Linked DNA regions of Saccharomyces cerevisiae S288C. The protein of the gene in region 3 interacts with the protein of the main gene of each other region in a biochemical or structural test. Each region holds a gene or a part of one and is shown on either strand. Other genes may lie near its edges.

The links. Proteins that work in one complex are often made in the same cells at the same time.
Region 1: the proteins of NSP1 (region 3) and NUP57 form a complex in vitro, tested with the Saccharomyces cerevisiae proteins (4 studies listed by BioGRID, with this or other methods).
Region 2: the proteins of NSP1 (region 3) and NUP49 form a complex in vitro, tested with the Saccharomyces cerevisiae proteins (3 studies listed by BioGRID, with this or other methods).

Annotation. Positions count from the first base shown.
Region 1 is NC_001139.9:727,471-731,354, forward strand, and holds NUP57 (FG-nucleoporin NUP57), read right to left. Parts: upstream 2,202-3,884; coding exon 576-2,201; downstream 1-575. Other genes in the region: 40S ribosomal protein uS12 RPS23A, read left to right, coding at 1-260; Golgi transport complex subunit COG2, read right to left, coding at 2,563-3,351. UniProt on the Saccharomyces cerevisiae protein: Functions as a component of the nuclear pore complex (NPC).
Region 2 is NC_001139.9:179,186-182,693, reverse strand, and holds NUP49 (FG-nucleoporin NUP49), read right to left. Parts: upstream 1,995-3,508; coding exon 576-1,994; downstream 1-575. Other genes in the region: RNA-dependent ATPase ROK1, read right to left, coding at 1-304; chromatin-binding exonuclease XRN1, read left to right, coding at 2,581-3,508. UniProt on the Saccharomyces cerevisiae protein: Functions as a component of the nuclear pore complex (NPC).
Region 3 is NC_001142.9:363,797-368,915, forward strand, and holds NSP1 (FG-nucleoporin NSP1), read left to right. Parts: upstream 1-1,987; coding exon 1,988-1,988; intron 1,989-2,106; coding exon 2,107-4,577; downstream 4,578-5,119. Other genes in the region: MHP1 (Mhp1p), read left to right, coding at 1-1,649; NUP192 (Nup192p), read right to left, coding at 4,952-5,119.

The sequences.
Region 1 (3,884 bases), on a different chromosome or scaffold from region 3:
AATCCAAGCAACCTAACTCTGCTATCAGAAAGTGTGTTAGAGTTCAATTAATCAAGAACGGTAAGAAGGTCACTGCTTTCGTTCCAAACGATGGTTGTTTGAACTTTGTCGACGAAAATGATGAAGTCTTGCTAGCAGGTTTCGGTAGAAAGGGTAAAGCTAAGGGTGATATTCCAGGTGTTAGATTCAAGGTCGTTAAGGTCTCTGGTGTCTCCTTGTTGGCTTTGTGGAAAGAAAAGAAGGAAAAGCCAAGATCATAAGCACGAAAGTTATCCTCTCGAGGACTACATTGTTTTTGTACCTTAATGTATCTCTTTATTCTTCCAGAAAGTTCCTTCTAATTTCTTATTAGGAATGGGAGAGAATCACATCAATATTTTCTCTTTAATAGAATGTATAATTCAATAGAAAAAAACAACATAATTTGCACTTTATTTTGATGCTGAGAAAAGTTTTATAGTGAATGTCTGCTTCCCTTGGGTTGAAGTTCTGTTCATATACTAAGTTGGTTAATAATGCTATATATGTAATAGATCGATCTTTATACAATTCAGTCATTGATTTAAGTAACCTGATTACGTTTTATTTTTATATTTTTTTACAATTGCAGCATCTTTCTCTAAAACCTCATTTAAATATGTTATACCGCGTTGTTGATTCGTCAGAATTTCCACTATCTTATTAATACGATCATTAGATTCTTCACCGGTGCCTTTGGACATGCTGTCTTGGTTTTTTGTATCGTCGTTGAAAACCATTAATTTACTATCTAATTGACTAGAAATGTTTTTAGCACGTTCTTTTAAGATAGCCAAACGTGCCCAAAGTTCGTTAGTCTTACCTAAACCTGCAGGATCTTCGCTCCGCTGTAGTAAAGTTTGGAATTGCGACCACATTTTCTCTTCTGCAATACCCAATGGCAGTCCTCTATTTTTCAGGGTTGCCAATTGTGTGCCCAATTTTAAGATTCTTTTTTCAATTTCAACATTCCTTGATTGTGCCTTCAAAATTCTGGACGCAGTGTCCAATTCATGCTTTTGTTGCAATTGTGTGGATTTCTCTAAAATATGGTTCAAAATTATTCTAGCTTGGGCTACATTTTCAGTCTGTACTTGATTACGTTGATTCAAACCCTCAAATCCATATATTTGAATGGGAATTGTCTGAGGGGAAGGTTTCTTTTCCATTGCCTGATCCCACTCTTCTTGAAGTACATGTCCTGGTTTTGTATATAAAATGGCTTCCGTTTCGTTCACTTTATTGTACACGAAAGCCCTGAGTTTTGTTTTCGTTGTGTTTGGATCCCACGATTCTTTACATTTCAACACCTGTTCTTGAATTTGCTGCGGATAATTAGACAGCTGCTGTTGTTGAGCAATTGCTTGCGTTTGTTGCAACGGTACTTGAATTTGCTGCTGCTGCTGCTGCTGTAAATTAGATCCAGTTGAAGGCTTAGACCAAGCAAATGATGGTTGTGTGGATACCGTGTTTCCAAGTCCGGGCGCAGTGTTTGTTTGAGGCTGCTGGGATTGGCCAAAAAGGCCACCTCCCCCAAGGGTATTGTTATTCTGGGTGCCGCTTCCAAACAGGCCACCATTAGTTGTTGATCCTTGTGGCTTACTGCCAAATAGGCCTCCCGTAGTCGCTGTAGTATTCTGAGGCTTTGCACCAAAAAGTCCGCCTGCATTCATGTTAGATGTGTTTTGAGTGCTATTGCCGCCCATCAGTGAGCCAGTGGATCCTACTTTATTACCAAATAAACCCCCACTTGTGGTACTATTGTTTTGTGCACTGTTGCCGAAAAGACCTCCCGTTGTGGTAGTTGGCTTGTTTCCAAATAACCCACCTCCAATGGTGGATTGTTGAGGTTGTGCTGTTTGTTGCCCAAATAAACCTGTTCCAGTAGCTGTAGTTCCTGAAGCGGTAGTGCTTGAACTTCCTAGGCTGCCAAGAGCAGGCTTATTACCGAAAAGGCCTCCACCTGTACTACTTTGTTGGTTACTTCCAAAAGTATTTGTGGCCTGATTTGCACCAAACCCTCCGGTAGTAGCCGTCCCAGAATTTGGCTGGCTGCCCCCAAAACCAAATCCTGAAGCCGAAGGTTGAGTATTTGTATTGTTATTGTTTTGTCCAAATGAAAAACCGGTCGAACCAGCTGGTTTATTTCCGAACCCGTTATTACTACCGCTGAAACCAAACATGTGATCAATTGGTCAACAAGGTATGTCTTTTGTTACTAACGAGCGTTTCTGGAATAGTTTGAACGGGATAATCCTCGATTTAGTCTTTCAGTCCCTTTGGCAAAAAGTTGTTTACATCGACTTGGAGAGTTGGACTTTTGCTTTTACTCATTTCAAGAAACAAAATTTTTGAAAATAATCCATTTCGCGTACGTTCAAAATGATATAATTACACATTGGCAACAATTATTTAGATTATATCACGTAGCTATTGTACTATTTTCCTATGAGAGAACTGCTGTAGCCATGTGGGATGATCATGCGGGCAAAACTAAAATACTTATATCAGTCCACAATTGAAGTATGGAAAGTTTTCTCCCAACTATGCCGTTTTTATAATGGAGACTAATGTCAAAGATAGGTTTTGCAGGCTTGATGGGTTTTCAAGACACTTTTCGGTCAAGATTTTCAGTGAGATTTGAAATTCTTGCAGAAGGTCTTGATAGTCATTGCGCAGATGATGAATATATGGTGAATTGGAATCAGCACAAGACTCCAATATTCGACGAGATGCCGTAATCAACTTATACAACTGCTCAATCAGGCCAGAGCAAATTTCTTCTTCTAATGGTTCTATACCGCACATTTCATGGAGAGATTTACTCAATCTCTTTCCAAGTGAGAGCGCTTCTGTCAATTGTGAATGGTTACGCAGAGAGCCGTAAATCTCATCTAACTTCTTTAGGTATTCCAGGACATCCTTTATAATTTCTTGTGTATTGCTGATGTCATCCTTTATCAAATGATCTAATTGAGTCATAAATTTTTGAAGATCACTTTGTGTTTTCTCTAAATTTATTAGAGTTTCATTTTCTTCATCTGTATAGGTATTGGAAAAAGTCAGATAGTCGTCGTAGTTACTTCTTATTTGTTCTAATAATGTTTGTACCATTTTTTGTGAAAGTCCAGACAAATCTCTAATAAGGGAATCGAGAGGAAGGTAATGGAAATTTTTCTGCACTAGGAATCTGTCGACATCAAAGTTATCAACATCGGTCCCATTAGTCTCGGATTCACGATACTTCTCTATTTCTGTTGCGAATAACTCTTTCGATATTTCTGCGGTTACCGGTAAATCTAAGTCTAGTTCATCATCATTCAAAAAGTCCATTTCGCCCTGAGAGAAATTGCGACTATGACTGTTGACCATTCCCTTTTCATATTATTTATTATTCTATATTTTTTCTAAGCTTCATTTTCTTGTCCTGTTGAAAATTCCATGAAATCGAGGTAAAGGCCCGAGCAATAATAATTTTAATTTAAATAAGGCACCCTCATAAAAACGGTCTTACATCCCATTATACCTAAATACGTATTTTTTGGATCTAGAGTGTTAACTATTTCACGATTACCGGTTGGTGTACTCAAATAATTAAAATGTTGAGGACTAAGAGAGCCTATATTTTCTCGAGAACATAGTCAAAAAGACTCCATGGCCAAGTTGGTTAAGGCGTGCGACTGTTAATCGCAAGATCGTGAGTTCAACCCTCACTGGGGTCGTTTTTTGCTTGAAATGAGCAACATTGGAGGAAGATTTGTGAAATCCTCCAGTTTTCTTTTTTTCCTCTAGGTTTTAACGAATGTGATAAAAGATAACTAAATAGGAGGGTCATTAAAATGCTAGGTAACGTATAAACAATGCAC
Region 2 (3,508 bases), on a different chromosome or scaffold from region 3:
TTCTCAACGCGGATGCCTCAACGGTATTGGTAATCACTGGTTTTATCAGACCATCATCATTGCCGCTCTTCTCCTCTTTGTTTGGAGAATCGTTTTCGGTTGTCTTCTCTCTATCATCCTCTACCTTGCTAATGATTCTCTTGTTTCGAAAGAAATCAAGTTCTTTCACGATCTGGCTTTCATTATTATCTTCCTTATGATTCTCATCATTTCCATTTATAACGCTGTAATCTGCTGCCTTAGCCTTTGGGCCTGACTCTTTCTTCACGGAAGCTCCTCTAGTTAATACTCTAAAAATATCCATGGTGGCTTGCCTGTTCGATAACTTCTACTATCGTATGTACCTTTTTGCAGGTAATATCTCTCAATTGAAGATGTCAATATTACTTTTTTTCCTTCCCATCTCATCGCAAAAAATTTTTCACGAAGAAAAGTTAGTTCGGCCTCTAAGACGCCATTATGGTGACTGAAAAACTGTGATTGATGTTATATTCTATTGCATTTAGTATAAATTACATTTGTACAAGACATTTGTACTTGTTATACGCACTATATAAACTTTCAGGGCGATTTACTCATATGCTCAATGATGCCAGTGTTTTCGTTTTTTGATGTAACACGGCGATTCTCTCAGCGATATCCATAAACAGTGTGAATTCCTCAATGACAGTAGAGACTATGGCAGCTAAGCCTGTCTTCAACTGCAGTAGGTTCTCTGCTTCGGATGAACCTAGATCTGCTGTGATAGCTGTAGAATTAGGGTTATTTGGGGCGCCAAATAAATCTGTATCAATGCCATTTACCGCAGTTTCTATATCAGAGAGAATACGGCAGTAATCCTCTAACTTCTTCTCGTAGAGATGAATTTTCTTTTGAAAGAATTTGTCTAAGTCATTAGAAGAAATTTTGCTTCCCGGAGTTAATAGTTGCTGTAAGAGCACCGAAAAAGTTTGCGTGTCTAGAAGGTCCTCATCGATTAGCGATTTAAATGAGGATATTTTCTTCAAATCTTGCTTTAAATATTGACTTGTTGCAGATTCTGACTTCAGTAGGTATGCAACATCACGAGGAATGGAATCTATCAATTCATCATGATCGATTGTATCGGCCTTCAAATGGTGCGAGATCTGCACTTGTTTTTGAATATATTGATCTAGTTGTTCAATTTCTTGACGTATTTGAGGTGGTAATTCGGAAATCCGTGTCATTGGGGTAATAGGGAGCTGAGATAGATTTTGCAATGCGCACTGCATTTGTGGTTGTTGCTGCAGTTGCTGCTGCTGATTACCAAATAGCCCGCCTGACGCACTCATGATGTTGTTACTATTATTGTTATTGTTGTTGTTATTTGATGAACCAAACAAAGACGTTGCTCCTGTCGGTTTGGAGCCAAATAACCCTCCACCAGTGGTCGTATTACCTGCATTATTGCCGAATAGAGATGTACCAGCTGGTTTTGCACCAAACATGCCCTGGTTCTGCGCAGGGGCCGAAGAGGTGCTTGTATTACCGAACAAAGAAGTGCCTCCTGCAGGTTTAGAGCCAAATAGTCCAGCGCTTGCATTATTCATGCCACTACTACTATTATTGATATTATTAGTGTTATTATTACCAAACAAACCACGACTCGTCTGTGCATTGTTGGAACCAAACAAACTGCCAGAATTACTGTTCGAATTAGCGCCAAATAACCCGCCCCCAGTGTTCGCCGTATTGTTAGGTTTGTTACCGAAAAGGCCCCCTCCGGTGGTGGCGCTTCCTCCAAATGCATTTGTCTGAGATTGTTGTTGCTGCTGACCAAATGATGCACCTAATCCTCCTGTAGATCCGGCTGGTTTAGCGCCAAATAGTCCACCTGTACTTGGGCCGGTGTTTTGTCCAGTTTGAGTCCCACCAAACGAAAACCCAGTATTCGCGTTTCCAGTGCTAGCTCCGCTGGCCTGACCAAAGAGCCCACCTGCAGGTGTCGAAGATGCTTTATTTAATCCAAACATTGTGCCCACTACCCGTGAAAACCCTCTCAATTACTGTTTTTATCGTCTCATCACCTGATCAGTAACTATTCTCACGATTAATGGTCTTTTTCAACTACATTTATTTGAGAAAGCTGTAATACATTCCGTGTTGAGTGATATATACAACCTCCTTTGCTCGTCTTTTCGCCACCGCAGAGCAAGTAACAACAGAGACAAACAAGAAGAGGTTAGAAAGCAATTTAAGGAGTAGTTTAACGAGTACTGAAAACGTCAAACTAAGTACTTACGACTTCCAATTACCGGTTGTAAAGTTTATCTACGCAAATATAACAGTTGCAGCTTGCTTTTTTTTTCAGCAGCTCTTCCGTTATTATAAAATCTGTTTGGCGTTCGCACAAGCGAACCGATTCTTTTATTATTTTCTCTCTGCCTTTTATTTCCGTTCCTGTTAATAGTTTATTTTCTAAAGGATACTGTCTTCTTCCGTACTTATAATCGGGTTCACAATAAGCAATTGACTAATCCTAGGACGATTCGTGTACTATAAGGAGAAAAAAAATCAACACTTGTAACAACAGCAGCAACAAATATATATCAGTACGGTATGGGTATTCCAAAATTTTTCAGGTACATCTCAGAAAGATGGCCCATGATTTTACAGCTTATTGAGGGAACACAGATTCCTGAGTTTGATAACTTATACCTGGATATGAATTCGATTTTACATAATTGTACGCATGGTAACGACGATGATGTAACCAAGCGATTAACTGAAGAAGAGGTTTTTGCAAAAATCTGTACGTATATCGATCACCTTTTTCAAACAATCAAGCCCAAGAAGATTTTCTACATGGCTATTGATGGTGTGGCCCCTCGTGCCAAGATGAATCAACAAAGAGCTCGTAGATTCAGAACCGCTATGGATGCAGAAAAAGCCTTGAAGAAGGCTATTGAGAATGGTGACGAGATTCCTAAGGGTGAGCCATTTGATTCGAATTCTATTACTCCAGGTACGGAGTTTATGGCCAAATTGACCAAAAACTTACAATATTTTATTCACGACAAGATTTCTAACGATTCCAAATGGAGGGAAGTGCAAATCATATTTTCTGGCCATGAAGTTCCAGGTGAAGGTGAACACAAGATCATGAACTTTATAAGGCATTTAAAATCCCAAAAGGATTTCAACCAGAATACGAGACATTGTATTTACGGTCTTGACGCAGATTTGATTATGCTGGGTTTGTCTACTCATGGGCCACATTTTGCGTTATTGAGAGAAGAAGTGACATTTGGTAGAAGAAATAGTGAAAAAAAATCGCTTGAACATCAAAATTTCTACTTATTACATCTTTCTTTATTAAGAGAATACATGGAGTTGGAATTCAAAGAAATTGCCGATGAAATGCAATTTGAATACAATTTTGAACGTATTTTGGATGATTTTATTCTTGTCATGTTCGTCATTGGTAATGATTTCTTGCCCAATTTGCCAGATTTGCACCTTAACAAAGGAGCATTTCCCGTTTTGT
Region 3 (5,119 bases):
ATTTGGCCAAGTGGATGGTTCAATCAAAAGTGACAGGTCTAGACGTTGGTTTTAACGATTTGAATGGCAAACTTTCCTCTTTCACCGATGCTGTTTTAGGCAAAATACAAAAAGCTAACGAGAAAAACGTCTTCAAATTTTTATCTCTAAATGGGACAAATTTGAGAGTGAACGAACACGACACTTTTGAGAATAACGAGGTCTTAAAACTGATAAGCGTTTTATGTTATTTGGAAAATTTAAAATTCTTGGATATATCGAACAATCCTGCCATCTTCCCCCACTGTGTTCCGACGCTGATTGATTTTTTACCTGTTTTTGTTAATCTTGTCCGTCTGCATATCGACTACAATAATTTAAGTTCCACGAGTGTAGTGATGCTGGCCGAAATATTACCCATGTGTTCAAGATTGAATTATTTTTCCATGTTAGGAACGGAATTGGATTTGGCATCGTCTAAAGCTCTAGCAGAGGCGGTGAGGAAAAGTTCATCTTTGATGACTTTGGACGTGGACTATGTGTATATGCCAGAGAACATTAAGGAAAAAATTTCATTATATGCTTTAAGAAATATTCAAGGGGAGTTGAAAAGGGTTAATAGTGACGATAAAGATATCAAAGATAGCCAATTTTCAAGCCTACAGGACCAACTATCACTTTTATTAACTGAAAAAGCGGATAATTCCGAACATTACAACAAAATGGTTGAGAATTTCATGGCCAAAATCGCGTTGGCACGTATCAAGATTAGTAAAGTGGTTCATGATCTTTTTGATTTAAAACTGAATGGACAATTAAATTTGGAAGGTAAGGAAGCTTTGATTAGATTATGCTTCATAGAGGCAAGTTTGGAAAGAGGCTGTGACCTGCTGAAACAAAGACATAACAACACTTTGAAATCACCAGAGGCCGTCTCAAAAAGTCGGAAAGGGGGAAATCAAGCACAACCCAATTCCGAAAGCTGTCAAAGAATGTTACTAAGCTCATCTATATTACAAAATTCAGATCATATTGCGCTTATGCCATTCGGTAGTGCAATAGTCGAAAAGTCAAGCCCAGATGCAGAAGATGCCGTCGAATTCAGAGAAGGTGACGACTCCAACGTAAATCACGAAGACGTACCAGCAAATGATCAACAATTTCGAGATGAAGTTGATATCAAAAACAAATACTCTATCATTAAAAGAGAACTAGAACACGAAAAGCTTGTCGGTGGTGGCGATTTGCCAGTGGACAAAGAAATCTTAAATCGTGCCGCACAATCCTTAGATAGTGACCAGATAAAGGAATTTCTGTTGAAGAATGACGTCTCTACTATCCTTGGCGTCATTGATGAACTGCATAGCCAAGGGTACCACTTGCATCATATTTTCAAAAAACAGGGAAACCAAGAAGAGACCGCGTTCAGAACAAAGGATGAACAACAGTCCTCCCAATCCAATGATTCAAGTGCTAATGCGTCCCCTACCACTGATCCGATATCCACAGGCTCCAATACTTCTAGAACGAACGATAATGCTCATATTCCTCCGACCGATGCGCCTGGATTTGATAAATTTATGAACAATGCAGAGGAAAATGCCATTGACGCTGCTTATGATGATGTGCTAGACAAAATCCAGGATGCGCGGAACAGTAGTACTAAATAATAAGGGATTTCTCTTAATTTTTTAATCTCTTTTTTGTATTGGGTTTCGAAAATATAATAAGGAGCCCTCAGACATTTACGTATCCTTTCATGTATGATTATTTTAAGTATTTTGTATTTTTTATTATTATTAATGTAAGCATAATGCTTTTGTAGAACTTGAGACAACCCGGACGGGTCCGATGAGTTTTTTTCTTCAAACTTTTATAGAAAATAATAAATGGTGTTAGCACCACTCAGATGTGATATTTGACGTGTCGATTGTGATACCTGAAGACGCTATTGGAGAGCCATTGCAACGCACAGTCCAACAGTAATAAGCTCTGATCGTTTTGAAAAAGTATGTTTCTTTCCATTGGACGGTTGTCTTCCGATCAAAATTTTATCTCCTATACAATTTCTTCCTATTTACTAACGAAAACCTGCGAACCTGTAAACTACATGATTTTTAATATTAGTGAACTTCAATACACCTCAACAAAACAAAACGCCCTTTTCGTTCGGGACTGCCAACAATAACTCTAACACCACCAATCAGAATTCCTCTACTGGTGCGGGCGCCTTCGGAACAGGTCAATCAACATTTGGTTTCAACAATTCTGCGCCAAATAACACGAACAATGCAAACTCTTCAATCACACCTGCATTTGGTAGCAATAACACTGGTAATACTGCATTCGGTAACAGTAACCCCACAAGTAACGTTTTTGGCAGCAACAATTCTACGACTAATACATTTGGTAGTAATAGTGCAGGGACATCCCTTTTTGGATCTTCCAGTGCTCAACAAACGAAGAGCAATGGAACTGCTGGAGGAAATACATTTGGTTCTTCATCCTTATTCAATAACAGTACTAATAGCAATACGACAAAACCTGCGTTCGGCGGTTTGAATTTTGGCGGCGGCAATAACACAACTCCTAGCTCGACCGGTAATGCTAACACAAGTAATAACTTATTTGGCGCTACCGCAAATGCGAATAAGCCAGCCTTTTCCTTTGGTGCAACCACTAACGACGATAAAAAAACAGAACCAGACAAGCCTGCTTTCTCCTTTAATTCAAGTGTCGGTAATAAGACAGACGCTCAAGCTCCCACTACAGGATTTTCCTTTGGTTCACAACTAGGTGGAAACAAAACGGTTAACGAGGCTGCAAAGCCTTCCCTTTCATTTGGTTCAGGATCAGCTGGTGCTAACCCAGCTGGAGCTTCGCAACCCGAACCTACAACTAATGAACCAGCAAAACCAGCCCTCTCTTTTGGTACTGCAACATCCGACAATAAGACAACTAACACAACCCCAAGTTTTTCGTTTGGTGCTAAATCGGATGAAAATAAAGCTGGTGCTACTTCTAAGCCTGCCTTCTCATTCGGTGCTAAGCCAGAAGAAAAGAAGGATGATAATTCCTCAAAACCAGCTTTCTCATTTGGTGCCAAATCAAATGAAGACAAGCAAGATGGAACGGCTAAGCCAGCATTTTCCTTTGGTGCCAAGCCCGCGGAGAAGAATAACAATGAAACCTCCAAGCCGGCATTCTCTTTTGGAGCAAAGTCTGATGAGAAAAAGGATGGTGATGCCTCTAAACCTGCCTTCTCTTTTGGCGCTAAACCGGATGAAAATAAAGCTAGTGCTACTTCTAAGCCTGCCTTCTCATTCGGCGCTAAGCCAGAAGAAAAGAAGGATGATAATTCCTCAAAACCAGCTTTCTCATTTGGTGCCAAATCAAATGAAGACAAGCAAGATGGAACGGCTAAGCCAGCATTTTCCTTTGGTGCCAAGCCCGCGGAAAAGAATAACAATGAAACTTCCAAGCCGGCATTCTCTTTTGGAGCAAAGTCCGATGAGAAAAAGGATGGCGATGCCTCTAAACCTGCCTTCTCATTTGGTGCTAAATCGGATGAAAAAAAGGACAGTGATTCTTCGAAGCCTGCCTTCTCATTTGGTACTAAATCGAATGAAAAAAAGGACAGTGGTTCTTCGAAGCCTGCCTTCTCATTCGGTGCTAAACCCGATGAAAAGAAGAATGATGAAGTCTCCAAGCCTGCCTTCTCATTCGGAGCAAAGGCTAACGAAAAGAAAGAAAGTGATGAATCAAAATCAGCCTTTTCATTTGGTTCTAAGCCTACAGGAAAGGAGGAAGGCGATGGGGCGAAGGCTGCCATTTCCTTTGGTGCTAAACCCGAAGAACAGAAATCCAGTGATACGAGCAAGCCAGCGTTTACTTTTGGTGCTCAAAAAGATAATGAGAAGAAAACAGAGGAATCTTCTACGGGGAAGTCAACCGCAGATGTCAAATCAAGTGATAGCTTGAAATTAAATTCTAAACCAGTAGAATTGAAGCCAGTTTCTCTCGACAATAAAACACTGGACGATTTAGTAACGAAATGGACTAACCAACTAACAGAATCGGCCTCTCATTTTGAACAGTATACCAAAAAAATTAATAGTTGGGATCAGGTACTAGTGAAAGGAGGTGAACAAATTAGTCAGTTATACTCAGATGCTGTGATGGCGGAACATAGTCAAAACAAAATAGATCAATCTCTACAATATATCGAGAGGCAACAGGATGAATTAGAAAACTTCTTAGACAATTTTGAAACCAAGACAGAGGCACTTCTGTCCGATGTTGTGTCTACAAGTTCAGGTGCTGCGGCCAACAATAATGACCAAAAAAGACAACAGGCCTATAAGACAGCCCAGACTTTGGACGAAAATTTAAACTCGTTGTCATCCAATCTTTCTTCTCTAATAGTAGAAATCAACAATGTTAGTAATACATTCAACAAAACCACTAACATCGATATAAACAATGAAGACGAAAATATTCAACTAATCAAAATCTTGAATTCACATTTCGACGCTTTAAGGTCACTAGACGATAACTCCACCTCTCTGGAAAAACAAATCAACTCGATAAAGAAATGATCTAAAAGAAAAAATTCCCTCTATTCTACACTTATTTGACATAGGATGTGCTATATTAAATAATTATATATAGGTATCAAAATGTACGCGATGGTTCAGAACCTGCAATTAATTTAACACCTCAATCATACTTGTTTTTTTCCTTTTTCAAGAAGTTTTTGTAATGTGTCGTGCCGATCTGTAAACGACCTGGATTTTTATTTCATTAGACAGTAAATACGCACCAAATCAGAACCAAAGAAAGGCTTCTGTAGTGTATGAAACTAAAAGCCACTTTTTGTGATAGTTTCTTCTTAGTACTTAGTACACAACCAAATATTTTGCAAAATGAAATCGATTCCTAAAAGTAATTCTTAAAAGTGATAATGAATGACTTAATCGTTATTTTGATATCCTGTTAATGTGCATAACATCACAATTAGCTTCACCATTTCGTTTAAACTTTGGTTATTAGGATCCGACGAATTTTTCTTATCTTCTTTTTCCCTCAAAAGATCTCTTTTGAATATTCCGATCACTAGCCTCTTATACGTATTCAGTAA